Linked DNA regions of Arabidopsis thaliana. The protein of the gene in region 1 interacts with the protein of each later gene in a pairwise test. Each region holds a gene or a part of one and is shown on either strand. Other genes may lie near its edges.

What was found.
Region 2: the proteins of AT1G34350 (region 1) and AT1G64150 interact in a protein complementation assay, tested with the Arabidopsis thaliana proteins (one large-scale study listed by BioGRID).
Region 3: the proteins of AT1G34350 (region 1) and TET6 interact in a protein complementation assay, tested with the Arabidopsis thaliana proteins (one large-scale study listed by BioGRID).
Region 4: the proteins of AT1G34350 (region 1) and AOX1B interact in a protein complementation assay, tested with the Arabidopsis thaliana proteins (one large-scale study listed by BioGRID).

Annotation. Positions count from the first base shown.
Region 1 is NC_003070.9:12,532,570-12,536,641, forward strand, and holds AT1G34350 (Tmem18), read left to right. Parts: upstream 1-1,856; 5' UTR 1,857-2,015; coding exon 2,016-2,156; intron 2,157-2,331; coding exon 2,332-2,512; intron 2,513-2,826; coding exon 2,827-2,975; intron 2,976-3,262; coding exon 3,263-3,358; 3' UTR 3,359-3,526; downstream 3,527-4,072. Other genes in the region: AT1G34340 (alpha/beta-Hydrolases superfamily protein), read left to right, coding at 7-92, 211-259, 408-464, 622-752, 826-909, 987-1,053, 1,142-1,462; PS1 (forkhead-associated (FHA) domain-containing protein), read left to right, coding at 3,928-4,072.
Region 2 is NC_003070.9:23,808,248-23,814,324, reverse strand, and holds AT1G64150 (Uncharacterized protein family (UPF0016)), read left to right. Parts: upstream 1-1,599; 5' UTR 1,600-1,745; coding exon 1,746-1,915; intron 1,916-2,012; coding exon 2,013-2,097; intron 2,098-2,333; coding exon 2,334-2,561; intron 2,562-2,658; coding exon 2,659-2,712; intron 2,713-2,805; coding exon 2,806-2,867; intron 2,868-2,979; coding exon 2,980-3,048; intron 3,049-3,126; coding exon 3,127-3,178; intron 3,179-3,561; coding exon 3,562-3,633; intron 3,634-3,720; coding exon 3,721-3,850; intron 3,851-3,939; coding exon 3,940-4,010; intron 4,011-4,199; coding exon 4,200-4,247; intron 4,248-5,206; coding exon 5,207-5,278; 3' UTR 5,279-5,490; downstream 5,491-6,077. Other genes in the region: DIR5 (Disease resistance-responsive (dirigent-like protein) family protein), read right to left, coding at 1-262. UniProt on the Arabidopsis thaliana protein: Mn(2+)/H(+) exchanger, which transport Mn(2+)from the chloroplast stroma into the acidic thylakoid lumen. Might be a chloroplast-localized Ca(2+)/H(+) antiporter. Regulates Ca(2+), Mn(2+) and pH homeostasis. Required for chloroplast development.
Region 3 is NC_003074.8:3,851,585-3,855,660, reverse strand, and holds TET6 (tetraspanin6), read left to right. Parts: upstream 1-1,794; 5' UTR 1,795-1,946; coding exon 1,947-2,438; intron 2,439-2,818; coding exon 2,819-3,135; intron 3,136-3,295; coding exon 3,296-3,335; 3' UTR 3,336-3,536; downstream 3,537-4,076. Other genes in the region: AT3G12100 (Cation efflux family protein), read left to right, coding at 60-129, 260-298, 394-544, 633-722, 819-920; emb2738 (GTP-binding family protein), read right to left, coding at 3,681-3,745, 3,825-3,993. UniProt on the Arabidopsis thaliana protein: May be involved in the regulation of cell differentiation.
Region 4 is NC_003074.8:7,902,064-7,906,151, reverse strand, and holds AOX1B (alternative oxidase 1B), read right to left. Parts: upstream 2,056-4,088; 5' UTR 1,997-2,055; coding exon 1,697-1,996; intron 1,614-1,696; coding exon 1,485-1,613; intron 1,403-1,484; coding exon 914-1,402; intron 828-913; coding exon 768-827; 3' UTR 576-767; downstream 1-575. Other genes in the region: AT3G22350 (F-box and associated interaction domains-containing protein), read right to left, coding at 3,111-4,088.

The DNA.
Region 1 (4,072 bases):
AACAAGATTGGTGACAGGTTTATCTGTCGGACTTTGAAACAAAAGCTCTATGACAAAGCTCTCACCATCGGACTCCAAGGTTATGCCCAATTGTATGTCCACCAAGAACTGCCTAGATTTTGAGTTTGTAAGATGGGCTGAGAGGAGATATTTCCGTTTTACTGCTTTGAGAAGATCAGGTTTCAGTTATAACTTTTGGTTTCATTGCAGGCATGAACCTCAGTTTTTACGGCTTGCTAATTGGGAAGGCATCAAAAAGGTTAGTAGGTTAATTAACCACAGGCCCATAAGTTATACAGTCTACTTGGTAGATGCATTGAAACAAGCAGAGTTCTTAAGCAAATAACTTACATATTTCTTTCCCTATCGACGTTGTCTGTTGTTGTCCGTTGTTTTTACTTCATCAGTCACGTTCCATCCGAGATTTTGACAACCATGCTACCTGTCTAGTTGGAAAATTCGAGGTATTAGTTCTCCTCCATATTATCTTAACTTCTGATGTTAGTTTTCCACCGCAATTGGCTTTGTAATTCATATATTCATCTTTGCAATGCTCTTCATAATCACCATTAAGTTCTCTGTTGATTTAATATAAGTACAACGGGTTGCACCTTTATGCAGACTGTGGATACGTATTACCGAAAATCGAGCAGCACTCAATACGTAGGAAATGTGGCGGTGCCACTACTCTGTATAAGTGCTCTAGATGATCCATTATGCACAAAGGAAGCTATTCCCTGGGACGAATGCAGGTAAGACGCTATCTATCTCTTTTTAAATCTTAAATCCTGTTACAGCGATTAACATGAAGTTTCTATTGAAAAGGGCCAACAAAAACATTGTCTTGGCTACAACAAATCACGGGGGACATCTAGCGTTCTTCGAAGGATTAACTGGATCTAGCTTATGGTTGGTATATTTCAGATTGTAACTAAGTAATAATAGTACTTCCTATTTTGACTGCCTATATATGTTGTTGTGTATAGGTGGGTTCGAGCCACCAACGAGTTTCTTGGCGTCCTTAGCTGCAGTCCTTATATGCATATACAGAAAGTAAGTTTCCGTTTATTAGAATTGCAGTTTAGATAATTTAACTCTTCTCTCTATTTCTTTCTTCCTAAGATTATCAATTTTTTTGCAGATTGTAGATAAAAGAAGCTCAGGGTCAGGGAAACAAGAGCCATCGATAAACCAAGGCCCGTACCTAAACATTGCAGAAGACGGGTTGGTGGCAGCAGTCAAATATGAGCAAGACACCAATAAGACCACACTGAAGCAGAGAGGGCGAAAGCCTGAGGAAGATGTAACAAAGAAAAGCTTTAAAGAGCTGTGTAGGCAGACAAAACAGTCGGTATGGTGGCTTGGTTACATAGGCATGGTTACAAGTTTCCCTTTACTTGGGATGCTCCTAAACTACATCTTCCGTAAGAAGCAACGACCCACAACAACATCCACATCCTGAAGTTGCTTTCTTTCTCAACATCTCCATTCACTCATTCTTCTATCTGTTAACCTATTATCGATTATTGAGAATGTTAATAATCATCTAATTTTTTTTTATCATAAGCATAGTAATTATGTAGAGTTTTCATGAAGGAAAGGAGTGGAATCGCTCAAACTCATTTTTTGTCTTATTATTTCGGAGAATCCTTTCATTAAAACTGACTTCGATCGAAGATCAAATCATTTGGTTTGAGTATAAGTTTAGATGTTCCTGGAAAATCATATTACTCTGAATAATCCAAAATATTAGTATGTTATCTCAGTGGCATTACCGTTAAAATATGAAACTATAAGGGTATTCTGGGAAGTTGGTGATTACATTTTTTTCTTTTCCTGGCAACTTCGAGAGCTTTTAAGCGCAGAAGAAACTCGTTAAAAATCTTGGCGAGAAAAGTTGAGAACTGGAATCGAAGAAGCGATAGGGTTTTGGTTACTTGGAGTGTGAGTATTTTAGTTACCACCGCTTGCAATTTCAAATTGGTTTCTTTTTTCCGGTGACATTTAGTAAGACAATGGAAGAAATAAGATCGGCGATGGAGAAGCAAGTGGATCTCGTAGCGGATCTGGTTGAGAAACTCTCCGGAGAGCTCCGAACGGGGTTTCAACCTGCTTACGATAATTTCTTGGGGTTTTTCCACGCCATTGATTGGAAGGTAATGAGAATCTTTCTTCGTATTGCATCATTTGGTCTTGAGGAATTTAGAATCACAAGTCTAGATAAATTCTCGGTATTTGTAGAATTTCATTTGAATTCTGTGAGAATTTGAGATTCCATAAACTATACTCATATACATTGGTTTTTTCTCATCTGGCATTTTTTGGTTACAGGAACCTTGGATTATGGGTTTAATGGCGTTTCATGCTTTGTTGTTACTAGTGACTCTTCTTTCTAGAAGGCATCTCAACTTCCATATGTTCCTCTTCTTATTGGCTTGTAAGTTCCCTTTGAAACTGTCTATATATATATTGTACAAGAAATCTCTTCGATCTAATGATCTCACTAGTCTAGGTTGTGGCATTCATAGTGGATCAAGTGTTTGAGAAGCTAGTACTGACATGTTTTACTTCACTCTAGCTTATGATTGAATGCACTAGGCTTTGTTTTCTTTGTTTAGTACAATAGGATTATCGGATCATCGATGTTTGGTAAAACGAAAATATGATATTCATTTGTCTACTCAATAGCTGTGTTAGTTTAGATTATGAACTTAGTGATTGGCATATTTCTTTGCGATATTTTGTGAGTCGTCACTGCATCAATTAGAGTTTTTTCTTTTCTTAGTACACGTTATTGAGACTGATGATGTGACAAAAAATTTGCAGTGGCTGGGGTATACTTTGCAGAGAATCTCAACCGGGAGTTGAGGAAAAACTGGAAGAGCTTCTCAACTCAAAACTACTTTGACTCGAACGGAGTCTTCCTATCGACTCTCTGGTCTGGACCACTTTTGGTCATTGCAATGATAATCCTGGTAATGTGTTCAGCAATCTTTCCCTTTCTTCTCTGCATTAATATATTAGAATCTACTTGCTAGCTCTTAATAAATTGTTCCCAAGTAAAACATACTTTGATTGAGCAGTCATATTAACTGAGAAATCGAGGATATGTTTCGTGTTTGATTTGGTTTTAACTCTTAAGAGTATTTGTAGTCCTTAACTCAAACCATAGTACCATACTGATCCATGTCTTGTTTAGGATTTTAACGAACTATGTGTAGTGAATGTGGAAAATCTGATGGAGGTGTTGTGTTTTTGACAGATAAACACACTCTTTTCGCTTTGCTACTTAATCGTAAAGTGGAAAAGAGCTGAGCTCAGGCATCGCGCAAGGCTTGCTCATACCAAGGAGGAATGATCCCACTTTTTTTAATCTCACATTTATGTATACTCTCACACAATGCATCAAAACTGTTTTGAGTTTTTTAGTAGAAGCTGCTCTTTTATGTATTTCGTTTTCAATTGAATCGAATTGTATCAAACCGAACCAAACCAAATTATTCTACTTCGGTCTGTTATGGTTAAAGTTTTGAAACCCCGAATTGAATGATTTGGCATCAATTTCTAGGCATGAAAAAATTGTAGAAAAGCACATACATAAATAATCGATGACCATGTCCATACCAAACAAAAAATGAAATGAAAAATTCATGTGTTTAGTGTTTAACCGACCTAAATTTGAATTAATTAAGGGTTTAATTTGGTTATTAAAATTTGAAATTGTCGTAATAAGAGATGATGCCACAATTAGCCGTTACGAGTAAATAGAGAGAGAGAGGTCGTCGGATTCAACAACGGACTCTTTTTCAAAATCAGAAGGAGATAGAGAGAGAAAGAGAGAAACACTCTCTAAATCTTCTTCTTCTTCATCTCTTTCGTTTTCCATTTTCGAAAATCTCTCAATCGTTCGTTCTTACAGACTTATTCATGGAGGTCAAGGAAGAGAAACTGATGGAGGAGAAGCAACGATTGCCGGAGAAGACGATCCCTGTGTTCACCGTTCTGAAAAACGGCGCTATTCTCAAGAATATCTTCGTTGTGAACAGTCGCGATTTCTCGTCGCCGGAGAGAA
Region 2 (6,077 bases), about 11 Mb from region 1:
GAAAGTTTTTGTCTATGGTCATAGGATCGTCGAAGATAACGAGTTTCCCGAATTTGAAATTCCCGAGGCCCGGTGGGTTGGTAACTGCTGCAGAAGTCGCGTTTTGCACGTCGTCGACACCGAACATTATGTCGTGGTAGTAGAGGACAAAGTTTTTGCACGGTTTTGGTTGCGATTTGGATGGTTTTCTAGCTGATATGACGGTTTTTGTTAGAACAAGGAAAACGAATAAGAAGAGAAACGATTTCATTTGGCCTACCATATTGAAAATATGTGTGTTTTAAATGAAAATGTGAGAGTGGATAATGAGAGAGTGAGATTGACAAAGAAGGAGTGATGGGTTTATATACAACTTGGGTTACTAGTCCGTGTTAATATTAAGTATAAACAAAGTGGACTAGCTCACTTCTTCTCTCTTGTTTCTTGTTTATATATTTATTTATATTAGGTTGGTGATAAGTTTTGTTGATGTGTATAAAGTGAGATCATTTACCATGAATATCTGAAAGTTTTCCATGTAGGCGGCTCAATCACCTTTCAAAACTTTCCACAAAATGTTATAGTAGTGGAGAAATCGTTAAAAATAACACGAATGAAGTACTAAAACAAATTAGTATATATAATACATATTTGATTTAAGACTACATAAGCTTAAAGCTTGTACATACCTTAAGCTGGAGTTGCACGAATTCATCAATAATATCTAAAACAGCACAAATTCAAAAGCAGAAGAGATATTAAATCGGTTAAATATGCAATTCATGGCTTTAAATCATATATATTGAATCAATGAATAATCTACTTGTTCGTCTAAATTTAGGACATTAATAATATATATATGTATAGTCTTTCAGAACTACTAATATATGTAATTTGGCCTTTTAATGATGGGTTGGTGGAGCACTAATAATAAAAACTAAAGAGCATGAGGAGTTTTTCCAATAACTTATAATTTTACATGAATTTATGTCAAACTGCCACTGACCATTAGCATGATGCTAAAAAGTATCGTTATAGATTTTATTTTATTTTATTATATATAAATCATATCATTTTTTTCTATAACTAAAAGTAGAGTCATCTATTTTATTGGTAAAAGTCACGTTGAAAATTTTAATTTTAGTTTGTTAAGTACCCTATGGCTAATATAATTTGCATACCAAACATGTTTTTTTCTTAATGATAATCTAGTCCATTTGTAAAAGTAACCGTTTTATCATCAATTTTTTTTTAATTAAGCTAAGCTTTCGCCGACTTAATAGAACATTGGCATTCGGCAGCCAATAAAGCAAATCAAGTTGCAGAATTTCAAATGTGACATAACTATTCACATTTTAAAAAATAATATCGTGAAACAAAAGAAAAGCAGAACAATAGTAAACAAAAAGACAAATTGTTGAATGTTGACAAACTGTGAAGATGATAACAAACGAAGGAAAAGAAAAATACTAAAATAGTTTGTCCTAAAAAGCCTTATCTGCGAAGGCATTTTAACGAAAACGGGCCTATTGTTGGCCCAATATGATATATAGGCTCGAAACTCGTCACGTGTATTCAACAGTTGCTTGAGTTTTTCCCACACGTGCGCTGTTACTACGTGGACGCGCGCGAATAACTCTAGTTTTGTGGATTTTTTTCACTATCTTCTCAGAACAACACAGAGCCAAAGGTTTTTTGCTCGCAGTAAAGAAGAATCACACTGTGAAGAAGAAGAAGAAGCGAAATACAAAATCCTCAGGAAAGAAATGCTAAGTTTGAATCTCTCGGAGTCGCTTCGCATTCCATTCCAGAACCCTAGGCCTCCCAAATCCGATTTTTCTTCTACTTCTTCTTCTCCTTCCTCATCGTCGAGGAGATGCGTCTCCGCTTATCCAATTCCGATCGGGTTTTCGGTTCGTAATCAATACTTTTCTAGGTAAATTTGATAATTGATTGTTCATCGGCTTTTGAATTTGCTATGCGAATGGAATGTAGCCATGTAGGAGTTTACGTCTTTTCACAATTCTGTGCAGATGTTTGACTCAATTGCGTCGAAATGAATCTCAGCAGCTAGGTTTTCGATGCTTCCAACGAAACGATGCGGCTTGTTACCTCGAGGTGATTCTGATTTTTGTTACCTTCCACCAATCTTCTTTTGGTAGATTTTTGAATTTTTTTAGATGAGATTCTGTTAAGGCCTAGAGGAGATTTCTGAATTGCTTGTTCTGTGTGGATTTACCTAAAATGGTAATGTAGGTTTATTATAATGATGATTGATTTTAAGGTTGAACAATAGTGGAGAGAATGTGTTTAAATGCATAAGCTGAATAAGTTGTTGTGTTTGCTTTGTTCAGAAAGCTGAGTCTGAAGAGCATGATAGAAATCTTGATGTTCTGGTTGAGTCATCGATAGCTCACTCAAGAAGAGAGATTCAGAGAGTTCTTATGTTCTTGGCGGTATCAGGTTCGGTTGCATTACTAGGCACTGATCCAGCTTTTGCAGCTTCGTCAATTCCCAATGTGACACAGTCACTTGTCACTTCTTTTGGAGACCTTGGAGATATTAGCTCAGGTTTTGCTTCGGTTAGAGAATCTTCCTTTTGCACAGAACCGGGAACTATCTCTTCTTCAATTCCAGTACTCTTAAATTTTATTTTTTGCTCTGTCTATGTCTGTGTAGGCTTTCTTGCTTATCTTTTTCTCTGAACTTGGAGACAAGACTTTCTTCATTGCGGTATGATCTTGAGATGTTAATCTACGCTTTAGAAACTCTCTTTGTCATCAATGATTCTGTTGATTGTGATAAGTTTTCATGTTTGTTGGTTAGGCCCTTTTAGCAGCAAGGAACTCTGCTGCTACCGTATTCGTGGGGACTTTTGGCGCTCTAGGGTATGCTTTCTTTCTCAAACAGAGGCGTTATTATGGTCCGTGAATCTTGTCTGAAACCAAATGTTACTTTGAAATCTGTAGAGCAACGTTATAAAACTTGGTAATTTTGCAGGATAATGACGATAATATCTGTAGTGCTTGGACGCACTTTCCACTATGTCGATGAAGTTCTTCCATTCAGGTTTGAGTATTCTGGCAAAAATTATTAAGCAGGTTTAAGTTCCATGATGATGCTGAACGTCAATGCTTGAGAACACAGGTTTGGTGGAACCGATTTGCCTATAGATGATATTGCAGCAGTTTGTCTTCTGGTAAATCTCTTTATTCACCTTTCTTAGCAGAGTCGTACTAACCACGGGTGCTTGGTTTGGACCTTTCTTATGTCTAGCAAGTATATCTTCCTAAGTATATGATGTCTACCAAGTGAAACCAAATGTAGCTGTAACCCTTTTGTTATGAGTTTTGTTTTGGTTTTGGTTCAGTTTTCGATTCGAAGGGTCTTAAAATTGTCATGAAGTTTATAAGTTTCAGGCTCTATTGGGTTTGGATTTTTATGTAGAAAAAGTTACTGGTCTAACAATGAAGATGTTGATTGGTTTTCAAGCCTGGTTTATGGTTCATTTTGGGTTGGATCATATTGTACAGAGCATAGTCTTAACCATGAAACAGTATTAACCACTTTTGTTACATTTAGGTGTACTTCGGTGTTTCAACGTTATTAGATGCTGTTTCAGACGAGGGTAAAGCTGACGAAGAACAGAAAGAAGTAAAACCTCTTTAGCCTTTCGTTCACTCTTTGTATATTTCCATGCAACCTTCAAGAAGTCAATATTTATTTACTTATTATCTACAGGCAGAACTAGCGGTTTCAGAGCTTTCAGGTAATGGAGCCGGGATAGTAGCAGCCGCGAACACCATCATCAGCACTTTCGCATTGGTTTTTGTTGCGGAATGGGGTGACAAATCCTTCTTCTCAACAATTGGTGAGACTCAAAAAGTTCAAATTTCATGATAAATCAAAACCTCAGGTCCAAAACTCCAAAAGTGTATATAATCTTCTAATTCTTTGAAGCTCTTGCGGCTGCATCATCACCATTGGGTGTCATCGCTGGAGCGTTGGCGGGTCACGGTGCTGCGACTCTTGTGAGTTCTTTATCTTTTGATTGAAACTTCTATGTGAACACTTTAAAGATCCTAGCTATTTGGGCTAGTCAAAAGTATCTTTAAGTACTATTAAGACTTAAAACCCCATCAAAGAAAAGATTTTTTCAATTCTCCTGAAACTTGGAAGACACAAGAACTCTAACTTGCAGCTTGGTTTGTTAATCGCAGCTTGCAGTATTGGGCGGTTCTTTGCTAGGAAATTTCTTATCAGAGAAGGTAACTAATTCCGTTCTTTATCTATCTCTATATACATACACATAGACAGTATATACATGTTTATACTTTATATAGATCAAATCAATTTTAGAAAATCATTATTTCACAAAAGCACTTGAAGAATACTCCTTTTTCATTTATAGTGTCAGGTTTAGATTTTTGTTACATGTCTTAACCTGCATCCTGACCAAGTAAAAGGTTAAGAAGAATAAAACTTTAATGGTTGCATTAAAAAAGTAGAAAACAATTAATGAAATATGAAACAAATCCATGTCCTTAGATTATCATGAAAATTTAGGGTGAATATACTAAATGCCAGCATATCCTAGGATATATTCAGCTTTTATTACACAAAAACGAGATACTAATGGCAAATTACTAGCTTTAATCATGGTTTTAAAAGTTCCAAACCACCTTTTTGAGTTTTGTTTTAGTTAGTCAAAGGATATAATTTTTAATCTCGTATTGTGTTCTGAGATTTAACATGATAGAAAGAAAAGTGAGAGATTAAGGTTTTTATTCTTTGGGCAAGTGGCAAAAACAAGCTTCTATGTTCATTGATCTCAAGTCTTCCACATCACTTGGTATCTATTCCTCCCCAAAAAAGAGTCAAAATAACATCTTTTATTGTTTTTATTCTTTCCTATGTCCGATCCAATCTGTCAACAACGCGTTATTATTCCCAAACTAATGAAACTAGCCGCGGAAATAAAAATTAAATCACAAGTATATACTATAATTTTCTTTAGGTTTTAAGGTTCATGATTTATGTTTTATGGTTTAAGGCTTAGATTTTAGCTTTTATGACTTGATAGTAGGCTTACAATTTAATTTATAAAGATTTAAGACCATTTTTTTTATTGTTTTGATCTAAAGTTTAGACTATTTAAAAAACAATTTTGGGAGAGAGAGTGTGTTCTAAAGACGGAAATGTTTACATGTCGTTTGGTTCGAAACAGGCAATTGCTTATGTCGGAGGAGTTCTGTTTCTCGTGTTTGCTGCTGTGACGGTGGCTGAGATCGTTACGTAAGTACCGAAAAATATATTTTTTCTATACCTTCTTGTACAAACATATTCAAGTTTAATTTTATTTTTGTAAAATATTAGTATATTGTTTATTTTCAACTGTTTTTCTGCAAATTATAATGTGGATTTTACAGTTCTCATACGTTAACGTTTACTACCACATTTGGTTTTTAGTGGTTAGAATTTACTTAGATGTCAAGATAGGTAATATGTTATGTTTTGAAAGATGCGTCCAAACATAACACGTGTTCGGGACTGGAAAGAATATAAAGACTAAAAAGAGGTTGAACATGGTAGAGCATATTCTTTTCTATATTCTTCATGTACAAATGTGTATTTAAATACTATAATCGTGCATGTGAATTAAAATTATATGAAAAAGTTATAAATTTATGAGTTCCACTCACAAAGGCCAAAGGAGTTGTTACACCGACATGAGAAATAGGAAGATAATACCATCTCCTTTCTTTTATAGTAAGGTGTAAATTGTTTTGGTATTTTTTTTTTAAATGGTTTTAGTTTCAATATTAAGCAAGGGCCAAGGTGATTTTTCTTTTTTAAAAAGGATTACAGAAGTAAAGCTATATATTGTGCAAAATAAGCATGCACTGATGCACCTACATAAATAGTAGTTTGGATATATTGTAAAAATAACTTTAAAAATCATTGGTTTTGAAAAGGCATATTTCAAAGTTTCTGAAGACACAAATTTTTTAAAATTAATTGACCGAAATATCTTGCTTAATAATACCTTTTCTACACAATGACTACACCTATATAATATTGGAGCATTTTTTTGTTCT
Region 3 (4,076 bases), on another chromosome or scaffold:
AAAAACCACATGTTATCTTGAATTTTTTTCTTATATTCATAATATGCAATATGCTGCAGCCTACAGAAAAGCAGAAGATATGAATTATCACTCCGTTTGCTTGCACGTCATATCAGATTCCATCCGCAGGTGTTAATCCTCTCTGCCTTTATAAATTTCAAGCAGAATCGGAGAAAGCTATATAGAAAAGAAAATGCTTCCTTTTGCATCAAACTTATATACAGTCAACATGAAGTTTTCTTTGCTGCTGTCTTTTCAGTGCAGGTTTGATACTGGCATCTTGGCTCCTCTCGCTCGGGTAATACTCGCTTTCTTTGAAGGAGCTAAATGAATAAAAGTGTCTTCTTGCTTGACTACATTTTCCTTTTGCTCCTTATGCCTTGGCTTTTTCAGGGTTGAAAATGCAGAGGTCCTATGTTTAGGATTGGTATCGGTCACAGTGTTTATGCTTGTTATGCCACTCTTCAAAGCCACTGGTGGTGTCTTGCTTCAGATGGCACCCCCAAACATTCCTTCTTCTGCTTTAAGCAAATGCTTGCGACAGGTTCGCTCATAAATCGTTCCTCGAATGTGTACATATTTCCCATTGTTGATCAAACCAGGCTTCTCTTCAGCTCTCTCTCTCTGTACAGATTACTTCTCGAGAAGATGTAACGGAGGTTTTACAGGCACGTTTCTGGGAGGTTGTGCCTGGTCACACTGTTGGCTCACTCAGACTCCAGGTACTCACTTTTCTCCTTTTTTTTATATCGGTTAAAACATGAGCTCACACTAGAAATGGAAATGACTGGGTTTGTTATTTTGTTTATCGGCGTTAGGTGAAGAGCGGAATAGATGAAAGACCATTACTGCAATATGTATATGATGTATACCATGATTTGGGTGTACAAGACTTGACCCTGCAAACTGATTACACCTAAGCTGCATCTGCCTCTTCTTTGTTTTTAAATGCTGATTTGAAGATTTTTGGATGTATACTAGAGATCATGGTTCTTTAGGAATATAAATATTGTGAATTTTCAAGTTGTGACTTTGTGATATTGTTTTGTTTGTTTTTCATTTATGTGAATTTTCAACCACACAAAGACCACAAACCTTTGTATCTTCAAGCTTGTGGATATTTTGGCTCATAATGATTGGCGAATTAAAACATATATCATTTGCTAAATGTGAAAGTAAACACACAAAAATTCAATATGAGCTGAGACAAGATTTTAGCATTCCTTCTCGTTTATTTATACGATAAAAAAGGAAGTGGGGGAATCGGAGATCACATCAAGCTATATCTTAAAAACCTAATATTCCGAGGAATGGGCCACTAAAAGCATCTTAGAAAGAAAATTCATCGATTACGAAATCATCTCCCGTCCATGTCTATATATTATTCTTTGCTTACTCCTATGCTTCATTGAACATAGCACATTTATTTTATTCCACTTGTGATCATCCATTATATAAACCATGATTGCAGTTTTTGGACTAAAAGCTAGAAAAAGTTGTATTCTTTATGGTGTAATGTCTTAAGAACATATTTTAATGAAGGCACTACTTGATTTCTCTTGGTTGTGGTCTGCTCTGTACCAACTCCAACGACAAAAACGTATAATATAGAATAATAAACAAGAAACAATTGTTCAAAAAGACACTTTTATTTGAAAATTATACGGTTTTAATGTTATTGTTTAATTGATTCAACTCAAGAGAGAGAGGACCAAAAGAATATGATCATGAATCATCAAACCATTAACTCTTAACCTTTCCCCTTAAAAAATTCCCAATTGATAAGAGAGAATCAAAAGCCAAAAGTAGAGTTAACCAATATTATATCTAGAAAAAGAAGATTGTAAGATAAAGCTGATGAAATTCACATTGCAAGAAGAGAATCTGCTTACAAAAGAAAGAAGGCAGTGTTAAGTCTCTGATTTCTTCTTGATAACATTACTACTATGTACAGATTCAGCAACACAGTTATTGGGGTCTTAAACCTTCTCACCTTACTAGCCTCGATTCCAATCATCGGAACCGCTTTATACAAGGCAAGAAGCAGCACGACATGTGAAAACTTCCTCCAGACGCCGCTACTTGTTATAGGATTCATCATACTCATAGTTTCCCTTGCGGGATTCATAGGAGCCTGCTTCAACGTGGCATGGGCTCTTTGGGTGTACTTAGTGGTCATGATCTTCCTCATCGCTACCCTAATGGGTCTAACGCTATTTGGTCTGGTGGTGACGAGCCAAGGAGGTGGAGTGGAAGTGCCAGGGAGGATTTATAAAGAGTATAGGCTTGGAGACTATCATCCATGGTTGAGAGAGAGAGTTAGGGATCCTGAGTATTGGAACTCCATTAGAAGCTGTATCTTGAGTTCCAAGACTTGTACTAAGATTGAGTCTTGGACTACACTTGATTATTTCCAAAGAGACATGACTTCTGTTCAGGTACAATCTACTTTATGACATGATTCATGCTTGCTTAACAAATTGCTATAGTAATCTAATATATATCTTATCATATGATAATTTAAGCCTTTGATTTTATTTGTTTCTTCGTTTCTAATCGCGTGTAAAGCAAGCATGTGACTAGAAATGAAAAAGGCAAACGAATTTTTTCTTTCCGTGTGTGTTTTGTTGAATCGTATTTGTATTCTTACTTGCAAACAAAATGATAGTGTGACCTTACCAGTTTTTTGCTGTAAACATATAGTTTTCTCTTTTTACTTAGTTTGTGTTTGGCGTTTGCATTTAGACAAAAATATAGTATTATTGGGGAAGAAAAGGCTTGTTAAGAGTTAAGACGTGACTAATAAAAGACAATGCAGTCGGGATGTTGTAAGCCACCGACGGCGTGTACGTACGAAGCTGGAGTAGTGGACGGAGGAGGAGATTGCTTCAGATGGAACAATGGAGTGGAGATGTTATGCTACGAGTGCGATGCTTGCAAGGCTGGTGTTCTCGAAGAGATCCGTCTCGACTGGAGAAAGTTATCGGTTGTCAACATTCTCGTCCTCGTCCTCCTCATCGCGGTCTACGCCGCTGGTTGCTGCGCCTTCCACAACACTCGCCACGCAGCTCATCCTTACCATCCATCTGATGATAACCGCATGACCAGAGTCCGTCCTCGTTGGGACTATTACTGGTAACCTTATCTCTCTCTCTCTCTCTCTCTATATATATATATATATATCACTTACCAAATGCATGATCGTAAAATGAAAGTTTTGTTTCAAAATTATACTTGATCCGAATTGAGATCTTGGATTTTTTTATTTTTTGACAAAAGCATGTTCTTATTACAGGTGGAGATGGTGGCACGAAAAGAAAGAGCAGCTTTACTAAAAGCCGCATCGTTTTTTTGTTCTTAATCATTTTCTTTTTAGCAAACTTAGATTAAGAAAACACAAAGATAGTTTAAAAATGTTGATGTAGTCCTGTTCCTATAAATCATCAAGAGATTAGTAAGATTTGCTACGAGTGCATGAGTATATGCATATATTTTTCGTCTCACTTGTGAAATATACTCTATGGAAGACTTATTAGAGTTTACTATTCCTGCAATTTCACTTCAAAGCTCAAAACGAAAAACAAACAGAGTAGGTTGCAATGGAGACTAGCTAGGATTGAATTGTATATATATATTGATAGTAATTATTTTTCAATACAACAAAATTACATCGTCGGTTATTATGTTCTTTTGGTTGCAAGATTTCTCTGACGTGTAAGGCCTGCCATTCTCATTGTTCCTCCACCTGCAGAATTTTCCAAAAGTTATACAGATACTGTCACTATTTTCAAAAAGAATTACAACTTCATGCAAAAAACTCGTACCTCCTCCATTTTTGTCAGATCTTTTACGGCTACGCCAAAGAAGCCGAATTGGAGTCCCAGCAAAGCCTGCATCAGTGCGTAGCTGTTTCTCCATATACCTTCTGTACGTATCCGAAAACAGCTTTGCGTCGTTTACAAAGAAAACAAACGTCGGTGGCCTTATTGCTGCCTGCATTATACAACCATTTTATATACAGACAAACAAACCCGAAAAGCCTCTAATGCATTTTCCTTTACTGCTACTAGAAAACA
Region 4 (4,088 bases), on another chromosome or scaffold:
TATGTATTTTGGTTCGGATCGGTTCCGGTTTGGTTCCGGTTTTTTCATGTTTTTACCAAAAAAAATTATAAGTGTGATGCATAAATAAAATCAAAATCTAATTTGTAAACTCAAATCCTAAATGACGGCATGTAATTTATATAGAATTTTAGTTTAGGTTACAGTTAGGGTTTTGTTTTTCGATAGTTTGATAGATATCATGTTATCAAATGAACATTATATATATATATATACAATTATTTTTAATTTAAATCAAAAACAAAAAAAACGTTCGGTTTTACGGTTTTTAATCAAACCAAACCTAAACCAAAACTTAAATAAAAATTACAATCAAATGGGTTTTTATACAAAACCATAACCAAACCAAACCATTTGTTTTGGTTTGGTACGGTTCGGTTTTTCGGTTTTCGTTTTTTTTCCCACCCCTATTAATTTAACATTTATATATGATGGATTCAAGCCTACTTCATTTTAGTGGGGTTTAATGGACATATCTATGGTTATATTCAAACTTCAAAGCCTTGGGTTTGTAAAGTTTTATTTCTAGCCTAAGTGTATATGTAAACATATCATGTAAGCACTGATTTATTAGGAGAATGAAAACAAACAAAACACTCTTTTATGAAGCAAAAAGAAAGCAAGCACAAATAAGCTTACTCTAAGGCCCACTAAATTTTAACAAATACCCATTAAAGCCCATTTAGGAACAAGGAAAACAAAACTGGACCGTATCAAAACGACAAAACAAAGCTAGAAGCTCTTCAGATTCAATGATATCCAATGGGAGCTGGAGCTTCTTTTAGCTCACGACCTTGGTAATGAATATCCTGCAATTTTTATTAAAACCATGAAAACAATCTAATCATCTTTTAAACATAAGTAAGTTTCCTATAATACAATTCACACTACTTACGGATGCATAGTGGTTAACATCACGGTGATGCGCTTCATCAGCACGGACCACCATGACGACATCACGAAGCGTCGCATCAGCTTCAAGTCTCCAGTAATCAATGGCAATAGCCGGTGCAGGCACATTTTCGATGTTACCATTATCGAGTTCTTTAAGAAACTCAGTGTAAGAGTGGATTGCTTCTTCCTCAAGGTATCCAACCATACGATGAGCAAATTTGGGAGAAATTAGGTATCCAAGGAAATAAGCATTGAAGAAAATGCCTTGAACGGCAATCACAAGAGCTCGTTCGTACCAATTAGGTTTCGCGACTTCCATGAATGTCATTAAATGCATTCTCTCGTTCTCTGCTTCTTCAAGTAGGGCTTTGATCCAACCACCGCTTTGTTCAAACCGTCGAAGCGATTTGCAGTGTACTAACATCCCTCCAACCATTCCTGGAACCGCTGCAACCGTTTCTAGCATCATTGCTCTGCATCCGTACCGCCTCTGCGGTTAACTCGTTGGCAAGATTAGTCCAAACATACAAAGCATTTGAAATGACAAAACCATAGAAAGCTAAGACTGTCACCTGGAAGAAAAGATCGGTAGGCCATCGAAGAGATTTCACGGTCCAATAAGCTAGTTTGTCCGGTAAAGTCGATGGAACATGATGCTTCTTCAAATCTATAGTCAGATCTGATTTATATGTCTCCCATGGCTACAGTTATTCCACACAAAAACTCAAATCATACATATAAATCGACCACAGAGTTCTAATATAATACCAAAGATGTAATGTACCCTAAAGCAACTCCATTTCCATTCAGTTCCATCTTCTTTGGTGATCTTCATCGGCTTCACTCCCCAGTAGCTAACGATTAATTGCTCCCCTTTGTTACCTTGATCAGCCTTGCCACCGCTAGATCCTTTCTCCTCCGTAGTTTTCTTCTTCTCAAATGTCATCTTGCTGAAAACTCTCACGACTCCCATCGCCGGAACCCTAATATTTTCCGTCACGAGAGGAACCCTAGGATTCAAAAGATGGCTGTGAGTCACAGCAGTTTCCATTAGCTTGGCTCCATAGCGACGACTCATCATCATTATGCAGATCGAAAATGAACAGTGGAACTTGATTAATGATAGTGTTTTTTTTTTGTTTTTTTGCATTTGGTAACTCCTAAACTGACATCTATTTATAGCAATTACGGAACTCTAGGATCAATGTATACAAGAAAGCGTAAAATTCGTCTAATTTGACTAAAAGACTTGTAGCACACGAAAAGACAAACTAATCCGCAAGTTTATGCTCAAAAACTGTGGACATTTTTTAAGTAAAAGCTTGTAGTAATAATCTTTTTTCTATAGACTTGGCTGGTGATATTCGTCAGCCGTTTTAATTCATGTTTTGATTAATTAGATTAATATAATTAAAAAGTTAAAAAAATCCTCTGTTCCAAAACAGAGACGTATTTGTGTAGTGTCTTATAGTTTCTTTGATGTATCTAACAATAACTGTGTCGCAAACTGTTGAAACCATTGGACAACCTTCTCGGTTTGAATATCATGGACGCAATTACTTGTTTCAAACCATAGGGTCTGAATGGTTGCAGCGGTTAAGGCGGACAAATCCGTTTATGGACTTGACCGATATTTAGTTACCATTCATAAATTGTGTCTGTAGTTATTTACCATTCATAGAATTGTGCTTATATATACAAATAGAGTTGATCTACATCGGTTTGTTATCCATCCTAAAAATAGAGCAAACTAAACTGCTGAGTGGATTTGTCCATCCCGACCGCCGCCACCATTCAAACAATATAGACGAATCTCAGTGTATCTATGAAACTGATCATTACTAAAATTTACCCAAAATGTTCGCAATAAAATCGATTTTCCCCCCAATTTGATGATTTTGAATCCATCTTGACGATGTCGAAGTAGGATATCCTCGGGTTTTTGATTCCGCTAGCGATGATCGAAACCTCTCCAGACAGAGTGATAACAAGATGATTGTCATTTGTTTCTGAAATCCAGCCTAGAGCAGGCTCTCAAAGGTAAGAATCATAAACTATACAACACGAAGAAAAAGAATAAACTACCAAAAAACTTTCATTAAATTATTCAACCAAAGGGAAAACAAATGAGAGAGGACTAGTGTATCTTATTTTTATCGACTAGTTTTTTTTCTTCTCTTTTTTACTCTCTATCTCTCTTACAAGATTTGAACCAAACTTGGAACATAATTGTAAATAAATGGAAACCACCACCATTTTTTTGTAAATTTTTCAGAAAATCTACATAACCACCATGGCTTGTTTGTAGCATAAGGGATTTCTGAGTAATATTTATTGTCTTCTCCAATAGTGAATATCAAGTTCCCGTCGGTCTCGAAATCTAAATTACAACACAAGGCCACTTTCTTCTCCTCGTTGATTAAAAGACTCGCGAAAACCTCAGAACAATGACCGCCAATGGGTAAATCCACTATAAAGGATTTGCTCCACAACAAAGCAGCTTCTTCAGTACCAACTTTATTGGTTACAAATATCTCCATCTTTGATGTCTCAATCTCTTGTAACACTGAGAGTTGTTCTTCTCCAACAACTGATAGAGCCATAAAACCATGATCTCGAGATGGCGGAAGACCAATATGATTAAATCTCTCTGTTGTAAAATCAAAACTACGTAAGAAGTCCTTTTTATTAGAACCAAACCAGTAAGTGTTTCCCTTTAAAGACACGACACTTACTGGTGGGAAGCGGTCATCAGGGACGTCATCAAGAACCTTCCATGAATCAGATCTAAAGTCATATATTTCAAACCTGAAACGTCCGCCGTCGTCTGGTATGTGATCGTGAAACCAACCCCAATACCTCAAGATTTTGTAGTTACGACGACAAAATTTGTTGTTTTCGTATCCTAGAGCAAACGTAGAGTATCTCCTGCATTCATCTTTGAGTTGGATCCACCTGGTTTCCCCCAAACACGGATTCCAAACCACGAGTCTATTGTCCCTGGTGGCGCATAACAACAAACCATCACAGTGATAAACTTCGACTATCTCGACTTGTCCTAAATTAGAATGGGAATCATCTTTTATGCCAAGTGTACCTTGAAACTCTACAGATGGAGGAGAAACATTGAGATTGATATTCATTGAGCAAACTCTGTACTCCTTCAACATGAGAAC